2 linked regions of the Macaca fascicularis genome follow. The protein of the gene in region 1 binds, or shares a complex with, the protein of each later gene. Links are inferred from orthologs where the notes say so. Each region holds a gene or a part of one and is shown on either strand. Other genes may lie near its edges.

Evidence for each region.
Region 2: the proteins of CNNM3 (region 1) and PTP4A2 are in contact, whole or in part, in a crystal structure (PDB 5K25), measured with the Homo sapiens proteins. The link is inferred for Macaca fascicularis from reciprocal best matches to the Homo sapiens genes CNNM3 and PTP4A2. Residues at the interface, in NP_060093.3 of Homo sapiens: Leu390, His391, Phe392, Val393, Phe394, Asp396, Thr397, Glu405, Ala414, Gln417, Val419, Glu424, Gly425, Asp426, Pro427, Phe428, Tyr429; in NP_001356788.1 of Homo sapiens: Met1, Asn2, Arg3, Pro4, Asp69, Gly70, Cys101, Ala103, Leu105, Gly106, Arg107, Arg134, Arg135, Gly136, Ala137, Phe138, Asn139, Lys141, Gln142.

Annotation. Positions count from the first base shown.
Region 1 is NC_088387.1:1,845,445-1,861,078, reverse strand, and holds the end of CNNM3 (metal transporter CNNM3), read right to left. Parts: intron 14,355-15,634; coding exon 14,157-14,354; intron 12,645-14,156; coding exon 12,495-12,644; intron 11,750-12,494; coding exon 11,580-11,749; intron 11,383-11,579; coding exon 11,286-11,382; intron 10,915-11,285; coding exon 10,781-10,914; intron 10,489-10,780; coding exon 10,350-10,488; intron 7,113-10,349; exon of another isoform or gene 7,013-7,112; intron 6,529-7,012; coding exon 6,464-6,528; 3' UTR 3,415-6,463; downstream 1-3,414. UniProt on the Homo sapiens protein: Probable metal transporter.
Region 2 is NC_088375.1:203,090,657-203,106,962, forward strand, and holds the start of PTP4A2 (protein tyrosine phosphatase type IVA 2), read left to right. Parts: upstream 1-5,653; 5' UTR 5,654-5,999; coding exon of another isoform or gene 6,000-6,023; intron 6,024-6,205; exon of another isoform or gene 6,206-8,353; intron 8,354-9,860; coding exon of another isoform or gene 9,861-9,966; intron 9,967-10,811; exon of another isoform or gene 10,812-10,891; intron 10,892-12,236; exon of another isoform or gene 12,237-12,302; intron 12,303-16,306. Other genes in the region: uncharacterized protein, read left to right, coding at 6,000-6,023, 9,861-9,966.

The sequences.
Region 1 (15,634 bases):
CCCCCCGCCCCGCGCCGGCCCTTCCCATCCCTTCCCTGCTCTCTGGTGGTCTAAGGACCCAAGCTCCCTAGACTTCTTCCTTTTCCGCTGTCTGTACGTTTCAGATTACACCAGTGTAGACCTGTACTGCTGGCCGGGCTGGGCCCCTGAACGCCAGAAAGTGAATCTTAGCAAGCTCTGCCCTAAACTGAGAACCATGTGCTGAGGGAAGGGCTGAAAGGTGAAGGCTCAGCCTCCCTCACATGGGTCCTGGGTTACATTAGGTGCCGGGCTGACAGGCATTTGGCCATGCTGCTTTTTAAGTCTGCCTTTGGTGGCCTTCTCAGGCCCACAACAAGGCTGTTGTTACGAAGTGGAAAAGCTGACCAGTGCTCCACGCTCGGGGCACATACCTTTCCATGAGCAGCTCCTGCCCTGTGGCGACAGAGCCAGCGTGCACCAGACGCTGGTGCCACGGCGAAGCAGGCGTTCAAGACCACGGAGAAGACAAATCCTCATCTAGAAATGAGGACACCTCAGTGACAAACACCCCTTTTTATACCGATCAGTATCTTCTGTTCATTAAAACGGGCTATCCATTACAGCCTAGTTGTCTTTCCTGGGCTGAGAGGAGCCCATGCTTCAATCACCAGGGACTGTCTGCTAGGGCCCAGGCCTGTTAGCCATGCCGGCCGGCAGCAAGCGGCAGGAGTGCAGAGTGGGCAGGATGCGGGGTCCTAGCACTAGGCTCTTGTGCTTAATGCATCTCTGCTCGCTGACGACAAGGTCAGAGAGCAGTGGTTCTCCACCTCAGCTGCTTGTCAGAATCACCAGGAAGGTTTAAAAAGTCCTGATGTCCACACCCTAAGTCAGAAGCCCTGAGGGGAGGATCCAGGTATTCTCATGCAGAGGCCATGCTTGTCTATGTGGGAAATCCTACAAATCTATAGAAAGCAGACACCTAGGGAGTCCAGCAAATCTCAGGTGCAAGATAAACACATAAAACCTGTTTCTACCTCCTGGAAATGAACATATAGACACAAAAGTTAAAAATATGTACTGTTAACAATTGCTTAAAAAGTGAAATACTTAGGTTTAAATCTAACAAAATAGGCAAGGACTTGTATGCTGAAAATTACAAAACATGATGAAATCAAAGATTTAAATAGACATGCCATGTTCACGGATTGTTAGACACAATAGAGTAAAGATATCAATTCTCCTCAGATTTACAGGTTGAATGCAGTTCCTATCAAAATCCTCAAAGATGTTTTGTAGATGTAGACAAGGTTATTCTAAAATCCGTATAAAAATTTGTAGCAAAAATATTTTGAAAAAGAATAAAGTGAGAAAAGGCATCTGTCCACCTGATTTCAAGATCTACTATATAGCTATGTGAACCAAGAGTGCAATGCTGGCAGAGGGACAGACACACACATTGACAGAGCCAAGAACATCATGGGAACAGGACCACACAAATATGCCCAGCTGACTTTAAGGTGCAAAAGTAATTCAATGGAGGAAGGACAATCTTTCAACAAACGGTGCTGGAGCAGCTGGAAAACGATACGCTAAAAAAAAGAACTTTAGCCTAAGTCTTACACATTATACAAAAACTAACATGGCTCACATACATACTTAAATGTAAAACTATAAAACTTTTAGGGAAAAACAGACAACCTTTGGGATCTAAGACTACGTAGGGTTCTTTTTTTTTTTTTTTTGAGACGGAGTCTCGCTCTGCCGCCCAGGCTGGAGTGCAGTGGCCGGATCTCAGCTCACTGCAAGCTCCGCCTCCCAGGTTCACGCCATTCTCCTGCCTCAGCCTCCGAGTAGCTGGGACTACAGGCACCCGCCACCTCGCCCGGCTAGTTTTTTTGTATTTTTAGTAGACACGGGGTTTCACCGTGTTAGCCAGGATGGTCTCGATCTCCTGACCTCGTGATCCGCCCGTCTCGGCCTCCCAAAGCGCTGGGATTACAGGCGTGAGCCACCGCGCCCGGCCTTACGTAGAGTTCTTAAATGCAACTAAAAGCGACAGTCTATAAAGGAAAAATCAGTAAAGGGGACTTTATCAAAACTGAAAACTTTTGCTCTGTATAAAACCCCAAGAGGGTGAAAAGATGGCTGGGCACAGTGGCCCACATCTGTAATTGTAGTAATTTGGGAGGCTGAGGCAGGCAGATCACTTGAGCTCATGAGTTTGAGACCAGGTGTGGGCAACATGGTACCCCATCTCTATAAAAAATTAGCTGGGCGTGGCCGGGCGCGGTGGCTCAAGCCTGTAATCCCAGCACTTTGGGAGGCTGAGACGGGCGGATCACGAGGTCAGGAGATCGAGACCATCCTGGCTAACACGGTGAAACCCCGTCTCTACTAAAAAATACAAAAAAAAACTAGCCGGGCGAGGTGGCGGGCGCCTGTAGTCCCAGCTACTCGGGAGGCTGAGGCAGGAGAATGGCGTAAACTCGGGCGGCGGAGCTTGCAGTGAGCTGAGATCCGGCCACTGCACTCCAGCTTGGGCGACAGAGCGAGACTCCGTCTCAAAAAAAAAAAAAAAAATTAGCTGGGCGTAGGCCGGGCATGGTGGCTCACGCCTGTAATCTCAACACTTTGGTAGGCTGAGGCAGGCGGATCATCTGAGGTCAGGAGTTTTGAGACCAGCCTGACCAACATGGAGAAACCTCGTCTCTACTGAAAATACAAAATTAGCTGGGTGTGGTGGTGCATGCCTGTAATCCCAGCTACTCAGGAGGCTAAGGCAGGAGAATCGCTTGAACCCGAGAGGCGGAGGTTGCAGTGAGCCGAGATCGTGCCACTGAACTCCAGCCTGGGCAACAAGAGCAAAACTCCATCGCAAAAAATAAATAAATAAATAAAAATAAATTTAGCTGGTCGTGGTGATAGTCCCATCTACTTGGGGAGCTAAAGCGGGAGAACTGCCTGAGTCCAGGAGTCAAGTACACAGCGAGCCAAGACTGTGGCACTGCACTCCACCCTGGGTGACAAAGTGAGACTCTGTCTCAGAAAAAAAAAGGGGGGGTAGGGATGAAAAAGATAAGCTACAGACCAATGCAAACCAAAAATCCCATAAAGCAATCTCAAAACAACTCTCAGAACTCAACAGAAAAAACAATCCAATCAGAAAAGGGTGAAAGACAGGGATATTCCACTGCAGGGGAACACGGGAGGTGTCCATCACTGGGAAACGCAAATGAAAAACCACCGTGAGGCATCACGACACACCTGTCGGAACGGCTGAAGTAAAAACACGACACCACCAAGTGCTGCGGAGGATTCGGGGAAACTGACTGTCCTAGGTTGCTGGTGAGGACGTAAGAGTTTGATGGTTTAAAAAACGAAACATGCAACAACCCTATGGCCAAGCATTTACACTCCTGGAAAACTAATCTTTACACAGAAACCTGTACATCAACAGTCGTAGCAGCTTTATTTGGAATAGCCCCAAACTGGAAACATCCCAGGTGTCCTTCACGGGACCAATGTGTACACCACGCAATACCACTCAGCAACAAAAAGGAGCAAACTGTGAACACACACATGCAACGCTGGATGATCTCCGAGGACACCGAGTGAAAAAGACAATCCCACCAGGCGCGGCGGCTCACGCCTGTAATCCCAGCACTCTGGGAGGCTGAGGCAGGAGGATCACGAGGTCAGGAGATCGAGACCATCCTGGCTAACACGGTGAAACCCCGTCTCTACTAAAAATACAAAAAACTAGCCGGGCGAGGTGGCGGCACCTGTAGTCCCAGCTGCTCGGGAGGCTGAGGCAGGAGTATGGCGGGAACCCGGGAGGCGGAGCTTGCAGTGAGCTGAGATCGCGCCACTGCACTCCAGCCTGGGCGACAGAGCCAGACTCTGTCTCAAAAAAAAAAAAAAGACAATCCCAAGTGCTTACACACTATGCTCCCATTTATACAACATTCTTGACATGACAAAATAAGAGACGGAACGATTAGTGGTTGCCAGGAGTTAGGGGTGGCGGGAAGGGAGATCCTTGTGGGGATGGGATTTCTTTATCGTGATTGCAGTGGTAGTTACACAGATGTACATATGACACATGATTTGGGACTGTCCACCCACACTGCACCAGTGTCAAAGTTTTGCTTGGAATACTGCATTACAATCACGTAAGATGTAACCACTGAGGGAAACCAGATGAAGGCTGCATGAGGCCCTTATCTTTACAACTTCCTATATTCTGAAATTAGTTCAAAATATAAAGTTAGGAAAAAAGAAAGCAACAGCTCTAAGTGCAGCATGACATCCTGGATTGGCTGCTACAGCAGAAAAAGGACATTGGGGAAAAATGGCAAAATCCAAATAAACTCTAATAGTACGATTGCACCAATGTTAATTTTTTAGTTTTGTTAAATGTACCAAGGTTATATGTAAGATGTTAACATTAAGGGAACCTCGGTGAAAGGTGTATGAACCTCTTCTGTGAATCTGGGCATGGTGGCTCACGCCTATAACCTCAACACTTTGGGAGGCCGAGGCAGGAGGATGGCTTGAGCCTAGGAGTTCGAGACTAGCCCAGGCAACATAATGAGACCCTAGCTCTACAAAAGATTAAGAGAATTAGCTGGGTGTGGTGGTGCATACCTGCAGTCCCAGCTACTCAGGAGGTTGAGGTGGCAGGATGGCCTGAACCAGGGAGGTCGAGGCTGCAGCAAGCTGTAATCACACCACTGCACTCCAGTCTGGGTGACAGAGCAAGATCTTGTCTCAAAAAATAAAAATAAAAAATAAAATAAATAAAAAATTGCAAACTCTGATGCCCAGACTCTGATTAAATCACAAGCTTTGGTGGCAGGTCCAGGTATTTTTAATACCAGGTGATTCTGATGTGCAGCCAAGGTTAAGAATCACTGTTCTTAGCTCACGCCTGTAATCCCAGCACTTTAGGAGGCCAAGGCGGGCAGATCACCTGAGGTCAGTTCGAGATCAGCCTGGCCAACATGGTGAAACCCTGTCTCTACTAAAAATACAAAACTTAGCCGGGTGTGGTGGTGGACACCTGTAATCCCAGCTACTCAGGGGGCTGAAACAGGAGAATGGCTTGAACCTGGGAGGTGGAGGTTGCAGTGGGCCAAGATCGCACCACTGCACTCCAGCCTGGGCAAGAGAGTGAGACTCCGTCTCAAACAAACAAAAAAATACTGTTCTGGAGACAGGATTTTAATGCATCTGTTTCCAAACCGGGCTTGCTCTCACAGTTGACTCCTTGAGGACAATTTCTAAGCAAGCATACCACTGTTCTTTTGACCTTCAGTCCCATTTTTAAGGGTCCAAATTCCTTTGAGAAAAGTTCCAGAAATCCTCCTCCCTCCCTACCCAATCTATGATCCTGTGTCCTTGTGATGCCCATTTCCACACAGCTGAAGAACTACGGAAGGAAAATGTAGTAAATTAGAAGAAAAAGACAAATGCCTTCCAGTTCCCACTTCTCTAAAACCCCATAGCTAGGAACAGAAACAAACGAAAAGACTTGAAATGTTCTAGAGATGTAATAAAAACTGATTTTTTTTTTTAAAGAGGATCCACCTGGTTCCTAAAGCCTCCCTCGCTGCTCTCTGCACATCACACCACACAGCACCTGCGGGGAGGCCGTGGAGAGGTGTGGAGCAGGTGCAACAGGCAGCTACGCTCCCGGGGCCACACAGCGGAGAGAGGATTCGATGCAGCATGACGATCCCTTCCTCCCAGGCGTGACCTCTTCTCAGAACACAGGAACTGACAACGCTGTGAGTGGCAACTCAGCAGGTGGGCAGAGAAGCAGAAAGGAGCCCTCAGCACCACTAGGCCAGCTCTCAGGGTCAGAAGAGCAGCCTCCAGGGACGGTGCAGGGCTACAGGGACAGCCTTCGGGCAGTGGAGCTTCTGGTTTGGCACATGGGAAAGGCTGGGGCACATGCTCTGAAACATGACACCGTTAGGGAAGCCAGAAAGGACGCCATGGACAAGGCCATCGATTTGAACCCCCAGCCAAAATGGGTGCACTTGGCCTGCTCGAAAAGTGCTGCCAGCAGCGATAGGTTGGCAAATTAAAAGCAAACGAGTACAGGTCACGGCCACATAAAGGCAGTAACTGCACTCACAAGGTGGCTCGGCCCGAAGAGGTCTGAATCTGAATACGCCACACGGTCCCAGCCTCGGGGGAGAAGGGGAAGGCTGGGCCCTGGGGACTAGAGATGATGGCATTCCTTTCGTTCCTTCCTGACGCGGGCCTGGAGGGCTGTGCCCTGGTGACTCCTGTCTCCTAAAGGAGGGCAGGACCGGCTGAAGGATCCAGGCACTGATGTCTAGTTCTGAGGACACCCAGGACCCGCATCTACAAGGGCCATCTAAAACGTGGCCTGGAGGGGATGGGGGCAGGCGGGCACGAAGCTTCTGCTCAGCTCACTCCAGCTCCCCACGTGCTCATCTGTTCCCCAGATCTGGGGCTGCCTAGTGAGCAGTTAGACACCTGGGTTCCGCCCGGGGCTGCCTTCCACCGGGATGCCGGGCCTGCTGTGGCTGGACCCTACAGAAGACAAGGGAAGGAAAATTCACATCAAAGCTGGTAAAGGGACCTGCCAAAACCAAGTGCCAAATCCTCTGTGGACAGGAAGGGGCAGCTAAGACGGGGGCTTCAGGAGGCCTTGGGAGGTATCAGAGCAGAGCCGGGAGCGATCGGTTAGCAGATGGTCAGCCAACAGATGCCTTCCCTGGGACATGGGGGAAGCTGGGGCTGTGGATTTCTGGCCCCAGGGGGTCCCAGGTCATTATACTGAACAAGAGGCACCTTCCCGGGACAATACAGCACCCCGTGCTGGAAGGAAGCACCATTTTCCACAGTGGAAGAGTCTCGTGACCCCTCCTGTCTTCCAGAAGAATGGAAGGGAGCGCCCACCCCGCACCCCTGGAGAAAAAAGGCCCCCAGCCTGGGGAGCCGAGGGCTCTGCTCCTCCCACAGCTGAAGGGCCAGGAGAGGAAAGTGAAGGGGCAGGGAGAGGGAAGATATTTACCTTGGGTGTGCTCTGAAAACAAAAAACGCGCACTAGTCCACAGTCATTTATCAACTGCAGTTTCCAACTGTGCCAAAGAGGGAAAGGTCTACTGGGAAGGCTAAAGAGAGCAGAGAGAGAAAGAAGAGGAGAAGCTATTGAGCAGAAATGGCTGTGCCTCTTGGCTCCGGGCAGCACCATGGAGAGGGCTGATGCCCCAAGCAGGGGAAGCCAAGGGGGAGCCGGCAGCCGCAGTGCTGGCGCTGCACTGCCCCACAGCCTGGCTCAGGACGGCCGGCTGAGGAAGCCGGGAGCACAGCATGGAGGGCTGCACAGCATGGGGGCCGCCTTTCCCTCGGCCATACAGTTCCATGGAGAACTGACGCGGAGGACCTACCCTCGGCGACAACAGTTCCACGGAGAACTGACGCGGAGGACCTACCCTCGACGATACAGTTCCACGGAGAACTGATGCGGAGGACCTACCCAGGGTTTGAAATGGTAGGCCAGGGGTCAGACAACTCTTTCTGTAAAAGGCCGATATTTCTAGTTTTTGTAGGTTATATGGTCTCTGTCACAGCTACTCAGCTCCACTGCTGTAACTCAAAGGCAGCCACAGCAATCCACAAACCGATGTGTGGGTTCTCACAAAACTTCATTCTCAAAAATAGGCTGCTGGCCAGATGTGACCCTTGCACCATTTGCCAAACCCTGCTGTAGGCAATTTAAAATTATTGTGTCTTCCAAGTCTCAAAAAAGGCACTTCTCTGTTGGGCGTCTAGTGCCAAGGTCCCCAGAAACTGGTTCTCATCTGCACGATTTAAGCAGCACCCCACCGAAATCTCCAGGTGTGCAGCGGCCCTACGCTCCTCCGGACAGTGAAGTGCCAAGCTCACAGGACAAAACGCAGGACAAGCCGAGTTCAGGCAAGAAACAGAAAGAGAAGGTCAGCCTCACTGGAGCAACTGTCAGGTTGTACTTGGGTGAAAATAACCAACATTGTGTCTAGAGAATAATAATCCATTACCAAGAGGAAATGCCCCACAAAGCCACTATAAACTCTTCTCTTACAGGACGGCCCCGTGAAGATTTTTTAAAAATCTCTGGGTATATATGATGCAATGACGGGAAAAGCACTATTCTGGGATTAGGTCTGTATCTTCGATACAACATGTGCAGTCTGGGTGGCAGTGAGCCAGAAAGGCTCACGTGGGAAAACCAAAACCAAAAGGCTCACATTGTGAAAAGCACACCGCCCTGGCCTCTGAGACTCCAGTGTGATGGGACAGTATGAACTTCAGTAGAAGGGGCACCCCATACAATAAGAAACCATCACCATGGGTCAAGCTTCAGCAACCCTAGAAGGTGGGGCACTAGCTGCTCATCCAGCTCCTTCGGAGGCTGAGGCAGGAGGATCACCTGAGTCCCCAGTATGAGGCCAGCCTGGGCAACATGGCAAGATCTTATCTCTGAACAGAAGGTGCGGCACCATCCTTAGAGGGATCTCTTTAGAAAGAGATGCAGCCCATCCTCAGATCCAAGACTGAAGCAGCACGGCCTCCCCTGCTGCCTTTTTGCCAGCACCTGGATCTGGAGCCCCCAGGGGCTAAGGCATCCACGTGGCCCAGGGTGGGATTTCCCTCCCCTGCACGTCACCTCACAATTCAGAAAGGACTATTAGAAAAACATGTTTGTGCTCTCAAGTGTGGGTCTGAGTAGCCAGAGCGGCTCCATGGGAGGCCTACAGGAAGCAGGTCAGAGTGCCTGGGCCTTCTCTCTGGCTCTCCTTCCTGCCCTGTAGAACGGGCAGAAGAGCTAGCGCCCCTCCGGCCACAGGGAGGTTAGCAGAGTCAGACATGGAAGCTCCTAGCGCAGTGCCCTGGCGGGGGAAGCGTTGGTAAGAGCTTATCTTCCTCACGGTGGGGCAGGTGGGGGTGGGAGGAAGCAAGCCCGTAGCTCCCTCCACAGCCTCTCCGGAAGCCCCACCGGCTCTTCCAGGAACCTCACGTTCAGGCAGATCTGACCCCAGCGTTAGGAACGCAATCAGAATTAAAGTATCTTCAGGCCGGGCGCGGTGGCTCAAGCCTGTAATCCCAGCACTTTGGGAGGCCGAGACGGGCGGATCACGAGGTCAGGAGATCGAGACCATCCTGGCGAACACGGTGAAACCCCATCTCTACTAAAAAAATACAAAAAACTAGCCGGGCGAGGCGGCGGGCGCCTGTAGTCCTAGCTACTCGGGAGGCTGAGGCAGGAGAATGGTGTAAACCCGGGGGGCGGAGCTTGCAGTGAGCTGAGATCCGGCCACTGCACTCCAGCCTGGGCGACAGAGCCAGACTCCGTCTCAAAAAAAAAAATAAATAAATAAAGTATCTTCTCGAAAAACAAGAACAAGAAACCCTTCACCACTCCTACCCACAGCCTACACTTCAGACTCTTTCACCTCCCTCCTTGCAGTGGGGGGATGGGGTTTCACATCCCACAACCTCTAGTTCCATTTGCAAAATTTCTTCCAACACAATCTTCCCGCTCGCAGTGGAGCCCTGGATGGGCCACGCTTAAATATTAGTATGAACTGGCCAAACTCCTCACAAATGTCCTTCTAGTGTCTAGGATGGTGTCTGCCAGCCACACACCCTCTAAGCCAGGGCCACTGCTGACTCCAAGTGACCTAAGCTTAATCTTAAATGGCCAAAAGAGTGTCTGAACTAAAACTTATTCCCACTTCCCAACAATTCTCTGATTAAGTCAATCCATTCTAAGAGATCCTTGAGAGAAAATATTGACTTACTATACTCTACTTTAAATACCAGTTAGTCTATAGTTTGGCGTCATCCATGCTATTAAAAATAGCAAGAAGTTCAAGTTGAATAATGAAGAATTAAAAAAAAAAAAAAAGCAAGAAGGGGGTTGGGCACAGTGGCTCATGCCTATAATCCCAGCACTTTGGGAAGCTGAGGCAGGTGGATCATCTGAGGTCACGAGTTCAAGACCAGCCTGGCCAACATGGTGAAACCCCATCTCTACTAAAAATACAAAAATTGGCCAGGCATGGTGGCTCACGCCTGTAATCCCAGCTACTCAGGAGTCTGAGACAGGAGAATTGCTTGAACCCAGGAGCCAGAGGTTGCAGTGAGCCGAGATCACACCGTCGTACTCCAGCCTGGGCAACAGAGCAACAGAGTAAGACTCCATCTCAAAAAAAAAAAAAAAAGAAAAACAAGAAGGGAAAAGGATGCGGAGAAAAGAGAGAAAAAAGACAGAGGGCAGGGTGGGGCGGCGAAAGTGCAAGTCTGTGTGTGTGAGCTCACGGCCCTTGGGTCCAGACACCGCGCACAGTGTGCCACTCGGCGCTCACCTGCCGCTGTGGTGGTCTTCTCACCAAGGAGCCTGGTCTGGCTGCCTGGCATAACCTGCAGGTCGGTGTTCTCAGGGGACTGTGGCAGGTTCTGAGCTCGGGTAGCCAGGAGTGCGTTGAGGTACTGCAGCCGCGTAACCTGGAGGATGACAGTGTTACTGGCAGACCCCACTGGTGAAGCGAGACGCAGAAGGTAGGCAAGAAAGGTCACGCCATGCCAGAAGAGGGCAGAGGCACAAGTTTAAGCGAGTTAAGGGAAGAGCAACTGAGTCAAGTGTTTTTAAGATCTCGCAGGGAAACTGGGTGCAAAGGTCTGTGTCCCTCAGGATGAGCGGAAGGCCCTGCTCCGGGCCGTCTCAGACCAGCTGATCTAGCCCCCAGTGACACAAAGTCGGCTAAAGTCAGCACGCACGAGCAGCCCAGGCAGTCACCTTGATGAGCTGCAGGTCGGAGAGCGCCCTCACGGTGTAGTCGGGACAATACGCAGATGAACGCGTGCCGTCACCTGGGTCGGGCTGCAGGTCATGGCGGATGGGCTGGAGCGAGGACACCGGGGACTGGTGAACTATCGAAGGAACAATCAGTGATGGCAGAAGCCAGTGCTGGCAGCTGGGAGCCCCCTCCCCTGGAGGGGACAACTGCACAGCTTCGAAGAGCCACCCCACCAATCGCCCTGGAGAGGCGATGTGCCTGGGAAGCAGGGAGAGGAGAATGAGCACAGGCAGGAGAGGGTTTGCAGGGGTGGAGCGAGCCGCAAAGTCGAGCGAGGAAGAATGCTGCCCTCCCGCCCGGAAGCCCAGGGGCCACACCACCTCGTGGGGCGGTGGGCTCAGGTGGAAGGAAGGCGAGGAGGGGCACTGAGGGCCCAAGCGACAATGGGAGACAGGCTCTGCAGCCTCAACCCTGACCCTCAGCACCAGCAGGGCCACGGCTTACCTGAGGATGGCACGGTTAGCGCCGACACTCCATAGTACGTGAAGGCCCCATTCTCGAACTTCAGACCCTCCTTCCCGATCTCCACTTCAACCCTGCCCTGGGAGGAGTGGCAAGGAGAGAAACAGGTGCGGCCAGATCACCTTTCCCGTCAGAAGACAGCGGAAGGAGAAACCCACCACCTCAACTGTTCGGGGCGGGAGGGTGCGTATCTGCACGCCCCTGCTCCCCTCTTCTCCTAGACCCTGCCCTGGCCTGAGGAGGCAGGAGGGGCTCCAGGCCTGGACGCACAGCTACCTGCAGGATGAGAATGAAGTAATCCACCGGCTGGCTGCGCTGGTAGAGGTAGTGGTGCGCGGCCAGGCGGTTGCTCTCGTCAAACCTCACTTCCTGGTTGACGCTGGGATGCTTCAGCAGGTGCAGCAGGACCTTCTCCGAGACGCGCAGTGGGCTGAACACATCCACTTCTGCCCGGAGGGAAAAGGGACAGTGTCCACTGGGGCCTAGTGGCCGGTGGAACCACACCCAACGCTGCAGGCAACTTAAAAGTTATTCTGCCCCGCAGGGCTCTCCTGGGTGGCCTGTCAGCAGCTGCCCCCACACCTCAACACAAGAGAATTGGGCAGGGGCCAGGTGCGGTGGCTCACGCCTGCAATCCCAGCACTTCGGGAGGCTGAGGCAGGTGGATCACCTGCGGTCAGAAGTTCGAGACCAGCCTGACCAACATGGCAAAATCCAGCCTCTACTAAAAATACAAAAATGAGCCGGGCGTGGTGATGCACGCCTGTAAGCCCAGCTACCTGGGAGGCTGAGGCAGGAGAATCGCTTGAACCCGGGAGGCGGAGGTTGCGGTGAGCCAAGATCGTGCCACTGCACTGCAGCCTGGCTGACAGAGCGAGACCCTGTCTTTTTTAAAAAAAAAAAAAAAAAAGAACTGGGCAGGGCACCCCACACCCGCGCAGCTGAGAGCTGAGGCCCCTGGCTGTGGCGCACCAGGTGTGGCGCTGGCCTGGCCCAGCTGTTGGTTGTCTGGCAGAGAGGAGCTGTCTCTCCCATGACCCAGGATGCTGGCAGGGCTGCAGAGAACACACAAGTCCTCAAGACGCGCCGCTTGCTAGGAGCGGGGAGCAGAGTCAGTGTCGGCCCTGGGCGGCCTCCTGACCCACAGGACGGTGAAGAGAGCAGGGGGCGCGGACCACCCTCCCGCCTCACCTCGGGACAGGAAGCGCTGGGTGGCCAAGAGCAGCTGAGGCGAGATTTTTACTTTATATTCATCATCAGACCCCTTGAACAAGGAGAACTCCTCCTTCCGCTTGAGAGGGGCCATCAGAGAAGCAGGCTTCCTCCTCACCACAGTGTCTCCTAAGATGGAAGAAGAGGGCGCGCTCAGGCATCAGCCACCTGTCAGTCAACACCACCACACCAAGGGACTGCATTGCCTGCTCCTTCCTACTGAGGCCAGGGGGTCCTCGACGGAGCAGCATCAGAGCCCCAGGGACATGTCTTCAGCACCACTCCCTCCACGGGGCCTGCTCCCACCCCAACCACACAGAGCGAGGGGTGGCTCCCTGCCTTGGAGCTGGCTGAAGAGAACGCTGATATGATAACAAAGCAGCTCTTATAAAACAACAGGCATCCCTGATAGGTCACTGGACGTGGACTCAATTTTATTTTAATTTAGGCCAGATGTAGTGATTCACACCTGTAACCCCAGCACTTCAGGAGGCCGAGGCGGGAGGATCACTTAAGGCCAGAAGTTCACCACCAGCCTGGCAACAGGGAGACCGTGTCGTTACAAAAAATAAAATAATTAGACAGGTGTGGTGGCATGCGCCTGCAGTCCCAACTGCTCAGGAGGCTGCGGTGGGAGGAAAGCTCGAGCCTGGGAAGTTGAGGCTGCAGTGAGCCATGACTGCACCACTGCACTCCAGCCTAGATGACAGAGCAAGACCATCTCAAAAAAAAAAAAAAATTAAAAATTAAAAAATAGTAACAGGCCTCTCTGGCCACTGAGAAACTTCTCACTAGAAAGCATGTATTCAAGGATGACCAGTGCAAAAGGGCCGCAATTAACCTGGAGACCCCAGGCCTGTGGCAGTCTCAGGAATGGAACCAGAAATGCTATGTTTGAAAATTGACACGAGTAAAGCAGTATTTCTGGAAGCATGCGGGACAGGGGGCCCGGCCATGAAGCGCAGGCTCTGTGCAGCTCTGCAGACCTCAGCCACCAACCTAACAGGCAGACACTTTTACCACGAAATCAAGGGCCCGGGATCAGCTGCTTTGGGAAGACTTATTTCCACCCCCTCCCAGTGTCTCAGCCTGGAGTACAGTGGCATGATCTCGACTCACTGCAACCTCTGCCTCCTGGGTTCAAGCGATTCTTCTGCCTCAGCCTCCTGAGTATCTGGGACTACAGGCATACGCCACCACGCCCAGCTAATGTTTGTATTTTTAGTAGAGACAGAGTTTCACCATATTGGCCAGGCTGGTCTTGAACTCCCAACCTCGTGATCTGCCCGCCTCGGCCTCCCAAAGAGCTGGGATTACAGGCGTGAGCCACTGCGTCCAGCCGGGAAGACTTTCTTCATGGCAAAGAATGGGTTCTTTCAGAGGACATTTCTGTAATGTACAAAAGAACCTGCAAAAACAAAAGCACCTCGGGAGACAGAAGGCTGGGAAAGGCCCATGAAGGGCAGAGCTCTCTCAGTAATGGAGGAATCTAACAGGACTGCTGCTAACGGAGCCCCAGGCGAGCCCTCCTGCAAGGCGGCTCCCTGCCAGCGCCCAGGCAGGGCTGAGAAGGGGCCTGGCTGTGGATCTTGCTGGGTTTCAGCAGCACAGAGGCCCACTGGCCTCGGACGCAACATACACCTGGGGAAGTGCGCGGGCCCAGCGGAGACGTAACTGCCAAGAGTCTGGACTCACGGTAGTCTTCAGACTCGTCCAGGATCTCGGACCTGATGATCTCCTCGATCACGTCCTCCAGGGTGACCAGGCCCAGGACCTCGTAGAAGGGGTCGCCCTCACCCTCGTTGTTCACCTTCTGCACGATGGCCAGGTGGGACTTCCCTGTGGGCGGAGGACACTCATGGAACAGCTTGCTGGGCCCCCGCATTTTGATTCATCTCCCTCGGGGCCCACCAAAAGGACGTGGCTAATGTTCATGTTCCTACAGCGGGTCAGGCACAGAGCCCGACTCTTTTCTAGGTTTTTACTTAAGACACCCAGCATGACTATGAGGACTGGCCTTATTTTCACACGGGTTGAAAATGAAGCCCTGGGCTCATGCTTGCTCATCTGCACAGGCCCCCCAGGCAGAGGTGGCCGAGCTGGGATCCAGCTCCAGGTCTGCGCACCTCCATGCCATGGATGCAGTTCAGACAAGCATCCAGTCGAGAACACATGCGCCTCACACAGCAGCCAGCCTGCATATGCAGGCTAACAAGGGCATGACTCCGGAAACGCAGGCTCTCCTGCGGCAGTCCACACGGGGCGGCTGAGTGAGGCCACCCAGCCTGACTCTCCTCGGGAGGTTTTCCTAATTCTTTTTTTTTTTTTTTTTTTTTTTACAGTAAATATATATGCTGTCCATCCTATGTAAATGTGAACTCCTTCTTGTCCTTATGATAGAAATGAAAAAGAGATAGAAAGATAGATAGACTGTGTGTATGTGTGTGCGTGTGTGTGTCTGTGTATCTTTTCGTTTTCCTAATTCTTAGAGCTGCCCATTAGGGTCTGTGAACCAGGGGATGAGACGCGTGGCAGCTGACCACTCAGGAGTCAAGCTGTGCAGGGGGAGGCACCAGGCTGATCTTCCGCCTCACCCTGTCTTTCTTTCTCAGGTTAGCTTCCTGTTTGGTTTGTCTGCTTAGTGAGGGAATGTAAACTTGGAAAAAAGCCCAAGTCTCACAGTGTTGGGGAATGCTGGGGAGGCTTCAGGAATTTACTGTGTCAGGTAAGTGCTTTTCATCCACACTACTTTAGACCCGTCTGAAAAAACCAGAACGCAAGCCACCTAAGTAATTTAAAATCTGAACGGCTGCGTTAGAAAAGTCAAAACAAACACACAAAATTAAGTTTTATATTGTAAGTAACCCAATATAGTCAAAACAGCATTTCAACATGTCATCAATCCAAAAAATAAACACAGACGTTTCGTCTATTTTGCACTCTCTGAATCTGGTGTGTTTTATGCTCACAGCACATCTCAACTCAGACTCCACCTTTAGGTACCACAGCCCCAGGTGGAGGGGGCTGCCGGCCTGCGCTGCACAGGGCCAGCACAGGGGATGGGAGCAAGTCATCCAGCCAGGCCCTCCTTTGTCACTAACGGAAACACTGAGGGAAAC
Region 2 (16,306 bases), on another chromosome or scaffold:
ACACTAAGTCCTTTAGTCCTCAAAAAACCTTTTTTTTTTTTTTTTTGAGATGGAGTCTCGGTCTGTCACCCAGGCTGGAGTGCAGTGGCACGACTTGGCTCACTGCAACCTCTGTCTCCCAGATTCAAGCAATTCGCCTCCCTCAGCCTCCCGAGTAGCTGAGATTACAGGCATGCGCCACCACGCCCAGCTAATTTTGTATTTTTAGTAGAGACGGGGTTTCACCATATAGGCCAGGCTGGTCTCGAACTCCCAAACTTGTGATCCGCCCGCCTCCGCCTCTCAAAGTGCTGGGATTACAGGAGTGAGCTACCATGCCTGGCTTAAAAAACCTTTTTTTTTTGAGGTTTACCTTTTCCATTTTACAGATGGGGAAATAGAGACTCAGGCAGATGAAATAACTCCCCAAGTCTACGTACACAACAACAAAATGGCAATGCAAAGATGCCAGATGAATTAGTGTAAAATCCCAGGGTGGGAACCAGTCACCTGTTCCCAACCTCTGTCTAAACCACTTTTCCGAGGGCTTCAGTTTCTTTGCCACAGGATCATGACTTTTTTTTTTTTTTTTTTTTTTTTTGAGACGGAGTCTCGCTCTGTTGCCCAGGCTGCAGTGCAGTGGCCGGATCTCGCTCACTGCAAGCTCCGCCTCCCGGGTTCACGCCATTCTCCTGCCTCAGCCTCCCAAGCAGCTGGGACTACAGGCACCCGCCACCTCGCCCGGCTAGTTTTTTTGTATTTTTTAGTAGAGACGGGGTTTCACCGGGTTAGCAAGGATGGTCTCGATCTCCTGACCTCGTGATCCGCCCGTCTCAGCCTCCCAAAGTGCTGGGATTACAGGCTTGAGCCACCGCGCCCGGCCATTACGATCATGACTTTTTTTCTTTTCTTTTTTGAGACAGAGTCTTGCCTGTCACCCAGGCTGGAGTGCAATGGTGCAATCTCAGCTCACTGCAACCTCTGACTCCCCGGTTCAAGCGATTCTTCCGACTCAGCCTCCCGAGTAGCTGGGATTACAGGGGTTCACCACCACACCCAGCGAATTTTTTTTTGTACTTTTAGCAGAGATGGGGTTTCGCCATGTTGGCCAAGCTGGTCTTGAACTCCTGGCCTCAGGTGATCCGCCTGCCTTGGCCTCCCAAAGTGCTGGGATTACAGGCATAAGCCACTGTGCCCGGCAGACCATTACTTGTTTTTCTAACCCCTGTGTGTAGTGGGCCTACATAGCTCCTGCTCTCAAGGAGCTAACGCTCTGTAAAATCAGCCAAGAGTACTGCCAGCTTGCCCCCACAGGGGCACTGGGAAGATTAATCAGTGAATGGCACTTGGAATGCTTCAGCAAAAGCACTGGATAAACTCAGAGCACTTATGCGTGAAACTCACTGCTAGGGGTGGTTCCTGCTGTAATAAGGCACCTGCAGCCCAGTTTCTGATCTGTTTGAGGTGTGGAGGGAGTAAGACCACGTTACAGCCTCTGTGGGAAGCCATTTGGATGTCAGGGGTGAGAGCATCTCTCTGCTGTCGGGGGGAGAGGGGGTAAGAGAATGTGGCAGTGGTGTCATGGTTTAGGACCTTTCTGTCTCAGAGGCAGATATTTCACAAGGGGTTCCAGCTTATCCTGAGGACACCAGTTATTGACTGAAGTCAGAAACGAATATCATGATTATTTGGGCTTCAGAGGCAAACAAACCTGGGCTGAATCCTGTTTCTGTCATTTCGTCTCTCTGAGCCTCTGGTTCCTTTTTTCTTTCTTTCTTTCTTTCTTTCTTTCTTTCTTTCTTTCTTTCTTTCTTTCTTTCTTTCTTTCTTTCTTTCTTTCTTTCTTTCTTTCTTTCTTTCTTTCTTTCTTTCTTTCTTTTTTTTTTTTTTTGACAGCGTCTCACTCTGTTGCCCAGGCTGGAGTGCAGTGGCATGATCTCAGCTCGGCTCACTGCAATCTCCGCCTCCCAGGTTCAAGTGATTCTCTTGCCTCAGCCTCCTAAGTAGCTGCGTTTACAGGTGCACACCACCACGCCTGGCTAATTTTTGTATTTTTAGTGGAAACGAGGTTTCACCATGTTGGTCAGGCTGTTCTCGAACTCCTGACCTCGTGATCCACCTGCCTTGGCCTCCCAAAGTGCTGGGATACAAGCATGAGCCACTGCAGCTGGCCTTCTTTTTCTGAGACAGAGTCTGGCTCTGTTGCCCAGGCTGGAATGCAGTGTCTCGGTTCACCACAACCTCTGCCTCCCAAGTTCAAGTGATTCTCCTGCCTCAACCTCCCACGTAGCTGGGACTACAGGCGGGTGCCACCATTTCCGGCTAATTTTTGTATTTTTAGTAGAGATGGGTTTTCACTATGTTGGCCAGGCTGGTCTCAAACTCCTGACCTCGTGATCCGCCTGCCTTGGCCTCCCAAAGTGCTGGGATTACAGGTGTGAGCCACCACGCCTGACCGATTCTCTTTTTTAATGGGGGTAATAGTACCTTCCTAATAGGGTAATTTTGAATCATAAACTTGATAATAGATTTTATTTTATTATTTATTTATTTTGAGATAGAGTTTTGCTCTTGTTGCCCAGGCTAGAGTGAAGTGGCGCGATCTCACCTCACTGCAACCTCCGCCTTCTGGGTTCAAGTGATTCTCCTGCCTTAGCCTCCTGAGTACCTGGGATTATAGACGCCTACCACTACCCTGGGCTAATTTTTATATTTTTAGTAGAGATGGGGTTTTACCATGTTGGCCAGGCTGGTCTCAAACTCCTGACCTCAGGTGATCCACCTGCCTCGGCCTCCCAAAGTGTTGGGATTACAGGCATGAGCCACTGTGTTGGGCCTTGATAACATTTGAAAACATTTCAGTCAGGACTTGGAAAAGAGTAGATGCTTAATAAAAGGTAACAATGGCTGGGTGTAGTGGTTCATGCCTATAATCCCAACACTTTGGGAGGCCAAGGTGGGAATATTGCTTGAACCCAGGAGTTCTAGGCAACATGGCAAGACCTCCATCTCTACAAAAATAAAAAAATAATTAGCTGGGCATGGTGGCATAGGCCCATGGTCCCACCTACTTGGGAGGCTGAGGTGGGAGGATTGCTTGAGCCTAGGAGGTTGAGGCTGCAGTGAGCCATGTTTGCACTATTGCATTCCCTCCTGGGTGACAAAGTGAGACCCTGTCTTAAAAAAAAAAAAAAAAGAAAGGCTGGGTGCAGTGGCTCACGCCTGTAATCCCAGCACTTTTGGTGGCTGAGCAGACTGATCACGAGGTCAGGAGATCGAGACCATCCTGGCTAACACGGTAAAACCCCGTCTCTACTAAAAATACAAAAAATTAGCCGGGTGTGGTGGCGGGCGCCTGTAGTCCCAGCCACTCGGGAGGCTGAGGCAGGAGAATGGTGTAAACCCAGGAGGTGGAGCTTGCAGTGAGCCGAGATCGCACTACTGCACTCCAGCCTGGGTGACAGAGTGAGATTCTGTCTCAAAAAAAAAAAAAAAGGGGGTAAACGTAACTATTATTGGGGCCATTATTCTTATCCTTATGTTGTTAATGTTGTTATTACACTATTTTATTTCAGGGCCAGAAGGAGAGCTAGGTGGAGGGGAGTGTCATTTACTTGGTCAAACAATCTACTAGATGAAAACAAACAAGCAAACAATCTGCTAGACTGCCCCAAATAGATCCATCTAAGCGGGGGAGAGTCTGAAAACAGGCAATTACAGTATTATGTTAAGTGCTATGGTAGAGGATTGCACAAGGTGTTTTGCAACTTTATCGGAAGAATCAATAACTCATAGACGCAGCAAAAGTTTTGCAGAGGAGGTAGCTCTTTGTTTCAAATCAGTCTGTGTTTCCAGGAAGTAGAAAATACTGCTTGCTGGAGGCAGACAGAATGCAAGTGAGCCCAGTCTGTGCTCCTCACCCAGGGGCCTTGCTACTGATCTGCAGCCCCTCTTGCTCCTCAAGGCCTCTCTCAACTCCCACACAGCCCTGCTAACCAGCTTTGCCCTAGAATACCCCCTCCTGGGCCACCTGCTGGTGGTGAACATCCTGGACTCTGCTCTGTGGCTTGATGCGGCTGAGTCATAAGACCTTTCATTTTACTGCTAAGCTCTAATGGAAGCCTTCTGGTCAGTAGCAATGCCCCAAGTCTACCTTGTGGGGAAGGTCTAATGATGACAGATTACTGCTTCTCCCCGCAGGGCTGGATGAGCATGGATGTGGTGGTGAGGTAGGGGAGAAACACCCACGGGGGCATCTTCATTTCTTCCTAGATAGGAGCCAGTTCTGGGCAGGCAAGACTTCCCAGGAGTGGACAGAAAGAACAGACCCTCCCCAACCCGCAATTCTCAGGGGGAGACATCTCCCTTCCTCCCAAGCCAGCCCCCAATGCCGCACTTTGCCTGTCATCTGGCCGTGGCCCAAACCAGCCTCCCAGCTCGCTAGTGACCACATTTTCCAAACCAAAACTCAGGACGCATGATCTGGCAAAGAATTTCTGGCTAGCTTCCAAATGCAAGAGGCAAAAACCTTTCCACTTGAGAATCTCTATGATAATCTGCGTCGTTAAAGGTGACATTAAGTCGGAAACCTTGAAATTCAGGGTCTCCTCTTTCTCAAGCGTTTTGTTTTCCTTTTTTTTTTTTTGAGACGGAGTCCGGCTCTGTCGCCCAGGTTGGAGTGCAGTGGCGTGACCTTTGCTCACTGCAACCTCCACCTCCTGGGTTCAAGCGATTCTCCTGCCTCAACCTCCCGAGTAGCTGGGATTACAGGCGCGCACCACTATGCCCGGCTAATTTTGTATTTTTGGTAGAGATAGGGTTCCACTATGTTGGCCAGGCTTGTCTCGAACTCCTGACCTAGTGATCCGCCCGCCTCGGCCTCCCAAAGTGCTGGGATTACAGGCATGAGCCACCGCGCCCGGCCTTTCTCAAGCGTTTTCATACGTTATTATCGATCGTGAAAGCGCCCATGAGGTTGCTGATTATTATTTTCACTTTATAGTTGATAATACTTGGAGAGAGGGAATCACTTGCCCAAGATCCTACATCCTGAAAGTCTGAATTTTGGCTTGTCAGGGACAGTTCTTAGGATGTGTGTGTGTCTTGTGGGCAGAGCCGGGGGTGGCGTATTAATATCCTCCACGAAGATGCACACGCCATTTATTTGGGGCCTCAGGAAGGGCAGCCAAGAACTGAGCTGCCCGGGTTCCCACTTCTGAGTTGGAAATCCCCAAGCACAGGACTTGGTGGCCACCCTGTCCCATCAGGATCTGACCCCAGGCCTGACGGCCTAGGAGCGAGAAAGAACCCTTCGACCTTGCGGGTCACACCTCGGCTGCAGGCCCTCGACCCAGCCCAGGTGCGGATGGGCGGGGCGCAGCGTGGGCGAACGACTCCCCAGGCCACGTTCTGCTTTTCCCTCCCCGGTCACATGGACTCGCCTTCCGTAGCCGGGAGTGCGGAGCAGAACGAACCACCAGGAGGAGGAGCGGGGGAGGTGCCCAGGGCAGTGGGTCAGAGCCCCGCGGGGCAGGTGGGCGGGCCCAACCGCCCGCGAGCCGGCCGGCCAGCCAGTCAGCGAACGCGGAGGGCGGGTCAGCTGCCCATTGAGCCGCGCCCCGCAGCGACCCCTGAGGGGCGGCGGCGGCGGCGGGAGCTGGTTCCGGCTGCGCGCGCAGCGGTGGTGGCGGCGGCGCGATCGGCCGGGCTGTAACCGTCGTCCGTCCGGGAGCGGCTGGAGCGGCAGCGGCGGCCGGGCACGGCGCGAGGCGACGCCACAGGGCAGCGGCGGCAGCGGGGGCAGCGGCGGCAGCAGGAGACGCAGCGGCGACCGCAGCAGCAGCAGCAAGACGGACTCGTGGAGACGCGCCGCCGCCGCCGCCGCCGGGCCGGGCCGGGTGTCGCGCGCCGAGGCTGGGGGGGAGTCGTCGCCGCCGCCGCCACCGCTACCGCCGCCGCCGCCGCCGCCGAGGTGACTGAGGAGAGAGGCGCCTCCTCGCTCCCGCCGCCGCCGGACTTCAATGCCCAGTCCCCAGCTCGCCAGCGTGAGTGCGCCCCTCCCGGGCGGCCCCCGCGCCGGCGCCGGGGGCCTCGGGGAAGGGGAGGGCGGGAGGCGCTGCAGCCATTAGTACAGGCCGGAGACACGTCCCCGGAAGGAGGGCCGGGCTGGGCCGGGGCGGGGGAGCGAGGGTGGGTGAGCGAGGGGCGGGCTCGTGTGTGTGGAAGGGGGAGAGCTGTGCGAGCGTGGGGGAGAGTGTGAGTTGGTGAAGGGAGGGCGTGTGAGTGGGGGACAGGGCTGAGTGTGCGAGGAGGTGGGGGGAGTGGGAGCGGGTCGGGGGACAGTGTCGATGTTGGGGGAGTGTGGGTGCAGGCGGGGGAGGGTATGAGTGTGCGGGGAGCGTGTGGGCATGAGGGGTGGGGGTACATGAATGAGAAGTGGGGGAGGAGAGAGTTGAGAGTGTGGTAGAGAGCGAGTGTAGGGGGAGAACATGGTGTGTGTCGGTGAGAAGGTGCGTGGCAGAGGCGGGAGTGTGGCAGGGTGTGCCGGCGTGTGTCCAGTGTGTGAGCAGGCATCCTGGAGGCCCTTCCTCTTCGTCTTTGTGTGTGGCGATAGTGAACCGTGCTGTGTTGGGTTAGGGAGTTCTTTCCGGGAGCATCTTGTCCCTGGGTGCTCAGGTTCAAGTATGAGGAAAGGGGGTATAAGTCTCTTCTAGTGGCACTATGATCTTCTGGCTCTGGGATTTTAATTTTTTTCCCCCCCAGAAAAGATGTGATGTGTTTTTTTTGTTGTTGTTCTATACGTTTTTTTTCTCCCACGTTTCATAACTTCAAAGTAAATTTTCAAATTTGTCAAGGATGCCATCCTATCCTAGTCTGGGTCCCTGAGAGCTAACGAAAAGAAGTTTGTCTGTTGCCCAAGAGCCTACACTCTGGCCTGTAGAGTGTTCAGGAGCATAAACTTTTGTAAAGTACTGCTAGTTTTTCAGGTGAAGAGTATTTTATTGTTAGGTAAATTAAACTATAGGCTAGTTTATTATTTCCTGGAATTTGTCAAGAAATTAGCAGTGACCCGCAGTTCTAGTGTCACTGTAGGCATTCAGCAAATGTTTGTCTGGAGTCACCAAACTACAACCACTGCTGAGTTGGAATATGGTACTTGCTGTCATGCTCTGTAACAGAGTAGTTTCAGAGGGAAGTGAGTGAAGTTATGCCTTGCCGAATGTGCAAAAGGAAATTAAGGATGCAGAATGACACATTATCAGGGCTTCAGAATCACTTGCCAGCACACCATTGTATTGGTGAAGATGGTGAGAAGTTGTTTGCTGGTATTCTGATCTTGGCATTTTTAAGTTTCATAATGAATGGACTAATTATTGTCATGGACTTTTCCCATTCTTGAGTTGTAAAAGTAGGGATTCTTGATGAAGAGTAGTACCTCGATAGGGATTTTACACTTTGATATAATATTAAAAATGATGTTATCTTAAAAATAATTGTCTCTTAGAAGTTGGTAGTCTTTCAGTATAAGCAAAAAGTAGTATGGTCCTTTTGTTGTTGTTGTTTTTTTTTTGAGATGGAGTTTTGCTCTGTTGCCCAGGCTTCCCAGGTTCAAGTAATCTCCCGCCTCAGCCTCCCAAGTAGCTGAGAATACAAGTGTGCGCCACCACACCCAGCTAATTTTCATAGTTTTAGTAGAGACGGGGTTTCACCTTGTTGGCCAGGCTGGTCTCGAACTCCTGACCGCCACTGATTCACCTGCCTTGGCCTCCCAAAGTGCTGGGATTAACAGGCGCGAGGGTGGTCCTTTTGATCGTGAACATAATAGAATTACAGGCAAAATCATTGATGTGTAATTAAAAGTTAGAATTTATATTTTTCGGCTGGGCGCGGTGGCTCACGCCTGTAATCCTAGCACTTTGGGAGGCTGAGGCAGGAGGATCGATTGAGCCCAGGAGTTCAAGACCAGCCTGGGCAACGTGGTGACTCCATTTCTACAGAAAATACAAAAGTTAGGCATGGTAGTATGTGCCTGTAGTTCCAGCTATCCTGGAGGCTGAGGCGAGAGGAACTTGTGATTTCAGGAAGTCAAGGCTGTAGTGAGCCAGTGAGACCCTCTCTCAAAAAAATAAGAAAGAAATAGTAAATAGTATTGTTACTATTCAGTGAGGGAAGGAATTAATTAGTGTTAATTGCCTACTGTGCTACAGGTGCTTTTTATATTCATTTAATTCTCACAACTACAAGAAAGGTGGTCTCTTCATTTGCATCCATTTGGCTTATTTTGAACCACTTCTGTTTGCCCGGCACTAGGGATACAGCGATGAGCTCCCATGGATTTACAGTGGTGAGAAGAAGAGATACAGAAACTTAAAAGGTTAAGTAACTTGTCCCAGGTCACACAGATAATAAGAATTAGTGCTGGATTAAAAATCCAGGTCTTTGACTCCAAAGCTGTTGATTTTTCCAATACATCATACTGCTGTTTCAATAGCTCATCTTACATTGAGGTTTCTCATCCACATGATGACCTAGCAGCTTGTACTTAGGAGAGCTGTTGAAACTAATAGAGAAGGCTGGAGGCAAGGGGATCATTTAGGAGATGCTGACTGGAGGCTCTTTGGGGCCTAAGCTAGGCTTTTATGTGGGAGGAGATGCTGCCTTGAAACTCTCTTCGGGCTCTGGGTGTGTGCTTTGAGACAGTTTTTATGAGGCATCTGGGATATGTCTGCGTGAGGGAAGTCTGATTAAAGAAATGCAACAGCCTTTTATGTTTTATTTTTTGGAAAAAAGAGAATATATTTATTGGGGCCAAGAGTGAACTAGAGCTTAACCACTGTATGAAAGTTTCTCTGTTGAGCTGTGTGGGACACTTAAATCAGAAGAAGTGAGAATATACATGTGAAAGCATTTTGTTAATTATAAATTGAACTACAGATTTGAAGTATTATTGCCACTAAGATCTTTCTACTAAGGCAACAGATTTTGTAGCTGGAAAAGGCTGGCGTTTTCGAACACCTTTATAGATGAGAAATAGTTTCGAACTGCTGAACGGGGTATTTTCTGACTCAGAACAGCAAAAGTCAGGCCACTCCCTCTGTGAGTCAGTCAAGTAATATTTAATTTGAACAAACCAAATTTATAGGCAGAAACCATTTACAACATCATTGAACTTTGTAGCACTAGGAAGAGTAAATGTTTGAATACTTTTGTGTGTAGCTTTGAAAAAACATAGTATGAGAGCCCCATATATAGTTGACTTGAAAAAAAATTTCAAACAAGGTAAATTGGATTTATCTTTCTTAAGAATTAACTTTATTCATTTTGTCCAATAAAGGTAGTATTTCCTTATGCAGTAATTAAGGAACACTTTACAATTTTCAGACACAAAGTTGAAATTTAGTAGGGATTTATTTTACAGGATTTGAATATACTTTTTCCTTTTTGTTGTAATGTGGGGGTTGGTAACCAGTGAAGCCTAGAAAACTAATGTATTTACAAACAAGATGCAGAGGGAGCAGATGCATACGTTTTTAGCTGTTGCTCTTGGTCTTGGAAGAATGAAGCTTAAGTTTTTCTGAAACTAAGTTTGGTTAATTTATTTGGGTGCTAGTCCATCAGCTGTATTTGTTGAATAGAAGATGGAATCTAGTTTTAACATGGTGGACTTAGTTATGTTTATTGAATAGGGTGATGGTAGAGATCTTGGGGTACTGGTAGAGTTCAGTATTACACTTTTAGGGTTTAGGTTTCCACATTCCCTTCTTATGCCAAATCATGTATTGTCTCATTTAAAATTCAATAATCCTGTAAGTAGTATTCTGTTAGCTTTACAGATAAGGACATTTATTTATAGATTGATTGTTGTTGTTTTTTTTTTTCAGAGTCTTACTCTGTTGCCCCGGCTGGAGTGCAGTGGTGCGACCTCAGCTCACTGCAGCCTTCACCTCCTAGGTTCAAGCGATTGTCCTGCTTCAGCTGGGATTATAGGTGTGTGCCACCATGCCTCGCTAATTTTTGTATTTTTAGTAGAGACAGTTTTGCTATGTTACCCAGGCTGGTCTTGAACCCCTGAGCTCAGGCGCGAGCTGCTTGCCTTGGCCTCCCAAAGTACCGGGATTTGATTATTAAATCCCAGGTTTTAGAATCTAGGTTAAAGATTATCAATAGAGAGCAGCGAATAATTTTTTTTTTTTCCTTTTAGGGGCTTAAAGTTCTTAAATCTCTGTTGAACAATGGATGCCACCAGTTATAATTACTTTGGGAGATGGTGATTTGAGTCTCTTAATCTGTGAAATATTAGAAAAGTCTTGGCTAGGCACAGTGGCTCATTTTGGGAGGCAGACACAGGAGGATCACTTGAGGCCAGGAGTTCGAGACCAGCCTGGGCGACATAGAGACACCATCTCTACAAAAAATACAAAAACTAGCCAGGCATAGTGGCATGAGCCTGTAGTTCCAGCTACTTGGGAGGCTAAAGTTGAAAGGATCACTGGAGCCTGGGAGGTCAAGGCTGAAGTGAGCCGAGATTGCACCACTGTAGTCTAGCCTGGGAGACAGAGGGAGACCCTGTCTCAAAAAAAAAGAAAAAATCTTTTCGCCATTTTCATCTTTTGGACTATTACTACGTATAGAGGTGTCAGTTAGCTTTATCTCATTATCCTTTATTGGCTGAATTCTATTCTATGGGCTCCCTTGACTCCCTGGCCACTGTCTCAGCACTTGAAGCCTTTTAGGTTGTTTAGTGTAGAGATGAGGTACCTATTGTGTGAAAATCTTTTTGCTCTTTGGAGTGGTAGAGGTCTAGGCTCAACCAGAAACTGTCACTACCCTAGCACCTCCATGAAAGAAGCTGCACAGCAATGCTGTCTGTCTGCTTTCCACAATTCCCCATTGTGGAGTTACCAGGACTCAGGTGAGAGAATGACTCCTTTCCTGCACTGTTTGTTCAGTCAGTGTAGATTTACAGGACTCCGAAATCTATCCCAGAAAAATGACTGTGAGGAGTCGACAGATTATACGGATATATATATATATATTTTTTACTTTTTTTTTGAAACGGAGTCTTGCTCAGTTGCCCAGGCTGGAGTGAGGTGGCGCGATTTCGGCTCACTGCAAGCTCCGCCTCCCAGGTTCACGCCATTCTCCTGCCTCAGCCTCCCGAGTAGCTGGGACTATAGGCGCCCGCCACTATGCCCGGCTAGTTTTTTTGTATTTTTAGTAGAGACAGGGTTTCACCATGTTAGCCAGGAAGGTCTCGATCTCCTGACCTTGTGATCTGCCTGTCTCGGCCTCCCAAAGTACTGGGATTACAGGCGTGAGCCACTATACGGATATTTTTATGTGACTTGAATATAGATGGTTTTTGTTTGCCTGTACTGATTTTCTTGCCCACAGGTTACATTAACACAGCATCCACTTCATTTTAAGTGGCCTAGACACTAAATTTCATCATTTGAATATAAATTTACATTACACAATGTTGGCTTTTTAAATTGTTGAGAATTTTAAGATTAGGCTTTTTCGTGACCCTTTTTTTGCTAGTTGAGCCTGGTTTGAAAAAATATTTTGAACATTAGAACAGTCTTTACCTTTAGAGAAGTGGTGTATTTAATTTCTCTCATAGTATTTTTTATTTGAAATTTTATTCTTCTCAAAACTTTAATTCTTTTGGCATAAAATATACACAGGATATTTTTGTTTTAGCAGATCAGATAAATTACTTTATATTTTTATTTCTGCAGTGGTCAGATATGTTGGCTGTTAACTAAATGTATTGTTTGACAGGAATTCAGATTCACGATCAGGTCTGTTTTCTTCCAGTTGTCCTTTAGTTTTTGTTTAAATTTGACCATCTTTTTATTTTCCCCACTGTTTTACAGGAAACATTCACTAGGTTGTATCACCACAGTATTTGTAAATTGGATTTATGTACACATATTTGTATTTGTTTTTAGTAGCAGAACAAATAGTTATGTATTGTATTTTCCATTATTGGTGAAAAGCCTTTCATTAGGGAACGGAGAGACTGGTTAGTGCAGAAGGATATGAGTCACCAGCAGGATTTGTCAGCAACTAGAGAAGGATATGATGGAGAAACAATAGATTCTACTGACATTATTTTCATTCCACATGTGTGGTTACAAACAAGTTTCCTTTTGGTGGATTAGTTTAAGTTATGCAAATTTGGTCTTTCTGGGTGAAAAGTACTTTAAATATAAGTCACAGACTGTATTCTCATTTTTTTTTTTTAGATGGGGGTCTTCATTTGGAGGTCATCAACGGGTAGAATTTAGTTAAACTCATTATCTGTTGACTACGATTTAGTAAGTTGAAAGAATATTTTTGTTAAGCTTTTTGGTGATTATGGAGCTGCTTGCTCAGTAGATCAGAGGAGGCCCATAAATACGGCAATATTTGCTCTCTGTCTCAGTGAGCAAAGAGTTGCTTTTTTTACCACTATTCTGCTTTTAAATTCCTAAGAGCTTTTATTGCATTTAAATTGGTCTGAAATTCTCAGCCTGGTCAAGGCTTCTCCAGAGTTATCTAACCAAAGACTAAGCCTTTCTCATGTCACACTACCATGGTTCTTCACTGTTTTTACCAGTTTTCTATTATAAAAGTTTTACCTTTCTTCAGAACCCTTAATCCTATTCCATTCTTCTCATGCTTACTTTGTATCTTTAAAATATATGGTGTTAATATGAAAACTTAATACCAATCAAGCGTTTTACACCCACGTTGATTCTTCTAGGAGCTTGATCCTGGATAGTGTTTGTATGATGTACACACGTCTCTGCAAATGCTTGTTCGAAGATTGGCTGTGCTGCATTTTGGTATAATTCAGAGGTGACATATTGTCCCTCGTCTCAGTAAACATTTGGAGGAAGAGGACGAGAAAGATTGAATTTTACTTTCTTTAATTAGAAAGAAAAGGAAGGTGAATCCATGTTGAACTAAGCTAGTGAGTAAAGAATAACTCCTTGACATGGCATTATAGAGTTATTTCACCATTTTTATTTCACGTTAATATGTAGTATGAAATATTTACTTTCACTGTGTGGTTTTTAAAGATCGTAATGTTACTGTGTTTTGTGAAAGTATGCCATTATTGGACAATTAGTGGATAGACAGTACATTTTAAAAGGCCACCAGCAGCTTCAAATAGAATGATTTGGATTCTTGACTGTTTATCTTGTATTATACCCAGTACACAAACATATGTCTGTGAACTATAATGTAATTTATAAAAAGCAAATTTAGGAGAGGAAGTGAAGTGTAACTTACCCAGTTATAGGGGAAACTTGGACCAGAGTGCCTGAGCAGCAGAAACATTTCTGGGGCTCAAACAAAATAATTGATGCTGACAAGATGTATTTTGGGATGTTTTTATTCTGTGTCTTGTCCATAGAGAGTTTCCCTCCCTCTCTTTGGGGGTTAATGCTGGAACAGGACCTTTAAATATGCCCAGTACATTTGACAAAATGGGGAAATGAAAAGAGTTAAGTTGACCCATAGACTACTAAGTTCTGAGATATAGTATATTTGAAATAATGTGAGCAGTAGCCTGAAAGTTTTTACTTTGCATGCTACTCCTGTGCTGTAGGTTATTTTGAAAGGTGATTCAAATAACCTTTCCCAAGTATCTATTTTGCAACCTCAGGGAACTTGCAGCTGTTACAGTCATTCTAACTGTCCTGATATAACTCAGAAAACATTTCAATGTGGTGTTGACAGGCTGAATCCAGGTGTTTTTTTGGATTTTTACTACTGAATTTGCTTTATTACAATTGAAGTTCAGAATCTTAAATTATTAATGAAATTATTGATTCAGTGGTTCTTGGGTTAATGTATGTATAGTGATGTTGGAAACTAAATTAAAATAATTAAGACTTAAGTTGTTCTCTGGGAAAATTAGCCTTTTGAGATTAAAGAAAGAAGGATGGGAGGAGGAAAGAAAAGAAATGTTAGGATTTAACTTTTTGGGGAAGCAACTGAATTGGAGATAGTTCCTATCCTTAAGAAGGCTACCAAAGTTATTTAGGAAAAGAATGTGTTTAAACTTTATATTAAAGGGGCTTGGGAGCCTTAAAATGCACATAAAGTCTTTAAACATAAACCCCGTAGAAAAGATAGCCATGATACTTTTATCACAAAAGTATTGATGAATAGAATCCATTTAGTAGAACTATTTAATGTAATTTTTAAAAGATTAACTGAAAACAATTAGATTAATACTCAATATTAGGATTGTGCCGTTAGGATTTTTAAATGTTATTACCAGTGCTATTCAAATACTTTTTAAAGAGAAAGTCAGCGTTGGCCATAGTGGTGGTAACCTGCATTTAAATTTTATTTATGAAAGGAAAAATACCATTTTGGGACAAGAGATTCGTTTTGAGAATTGCAAATCTTTAGAGGAAAAATGGAGTACAATAAATATTTTTAAGTGTGGCCTGAAAATATTTAATGCAATTTTTGTCTTTTAGTTATTTGTAGAGGTAAAAATTACTAGAAAAGTACAACTGTTAATCACTAGGGTACATGCACATCTAAAAACCACTCCCTTTTCATTTTGGTGGGAACAGGGCCCACAGGACTTCAGTGAATAACTGTCACTGTTCTCAGAAGCAGGTGCGATTGTTGACTAATTGCTTCCCTTATCTTTCTGAGTGGCTGGCCATGTATCTTCTACTGGTTTTGAAATGTTAAGACATTTTCCCACCATCAAGGTCATGATTTCTTTTTATAGAACTGATTATTGATTTCTGTACTGGAACTTGAGTCTCGAGTTCCCTCCTTAAATGAGGAAGTGGAAAAGTGGGAATAACCAAGGGAGTAACTATGAAATTTTTTTTTTTCTTTTTGAGACGAAGTTTTGCTGTGTCACCCAGGCTGGAGTACAGTGGCGTGGTCTTGGCTCACTGCAACCTCTGTCTCCCGGATTCAAGCAATTCTTCTTTCTCAGCCTCCTGAGCTGGGACTACAGGCACCTGCCACGCCTGGCTAATTTTTGTATTTTTAGTAGAGACAGGGTTTTGCCATGTTGGCTAGGCTCGTCTCGAACTCCTGACCTCAGGTGATCCACCCATCTTGGCCTTCCAGAGTGCTGGGATTACCGGCATGAGCCACCGCACCCGGCCAAAAAATATTTTTTAACAGTAAAAAAGCATCTTGTTTTTGGCTTATTCACTGACATTTTGGATTCTAATTTGTGTAGAATTGAATTGATACCTCTTTATCAACTTCCTAGGACTGTAGTAGTTGTGAGTAGGGAGGGAAACTAATATTAATTTAAATCTAAGTTTCAAGGAGCTAGATTATTCAATATTAGTTTGGTAAATGGAACAGTAGAGGGACAAACAAAGGTAGGTAGCGCAGAGGATAGATAGAACTGTTGTTCTGGCAGAGCGCGGTGGCTCACACCTGTAATCCCAGCACTTTGGGATGCCCGAGGCCAGCGGATCACAAGGTCAGGAGGTCGAGACCAGCCTGACCAACATGGTGAAACCCTGTCTCTACTAAAAATACAAAAATTAGCCAGGTGTGGTGGTGCACGCCTGTAATCCCAGCTACTCGGGAGGCTCGGGAGGCTGAGGCAGGATAATTGCTTGAACTCCGGAGGCAGAGGTTGCAGTGAACCGAGATCGCACCACTGCACTCCAGCCTGGGCGACAGAGCGAAACTCCGTCTCCAAAAAAACAAAAAGATAGAACTGTTGTTCTATCTACTTGATTTGGCAGTAGGTCGTAAGAGATTAATAAATTTTCAATTTGAGACCAGTTAATCAGAAGATGAGTGTTTAATTAGTAAAGATGAGATTTTTTTTTAGTTTACAAGTTTTCAGACACTTTTTTTCCCCAAGTGGTCAAAATACAATAGGTACAGTAGCATTTTACAGAGGAATTTCCCTACTACTATGATGGTTGAGAAGATTTTACATTCTATTGTCTGAGTAGTCTCTGAATGTTAAGTTAGACTCCACAAGTTCTGTAGTTACTCAGAGCCTTGACTGTTTTTCATAAACTCTATATCCAGTCTGTGGACAAATCCCACATCAAAGTATATCTTGAAACTGACCCCTTCATATCTTCCTTCCTGCTGTTACCCTGGTCTAGGCTACCATTATCTCTACTAGTCTCCTTGCTTCCACCCTTACAATTTTTGTAATGTCTCCACATAGCAGATAGAGTGATCCTTTGTAAAACCTAAGTTGTCACTCTTTTTTTCCCTCCTTTTTCATCTTTTATGTTAGGGTCAGCGTGTACATGTGCAGGTTTGTCACATGGGTAAATTGAATGTCGCTCAGGTTGGTGTACAAACGATTTTG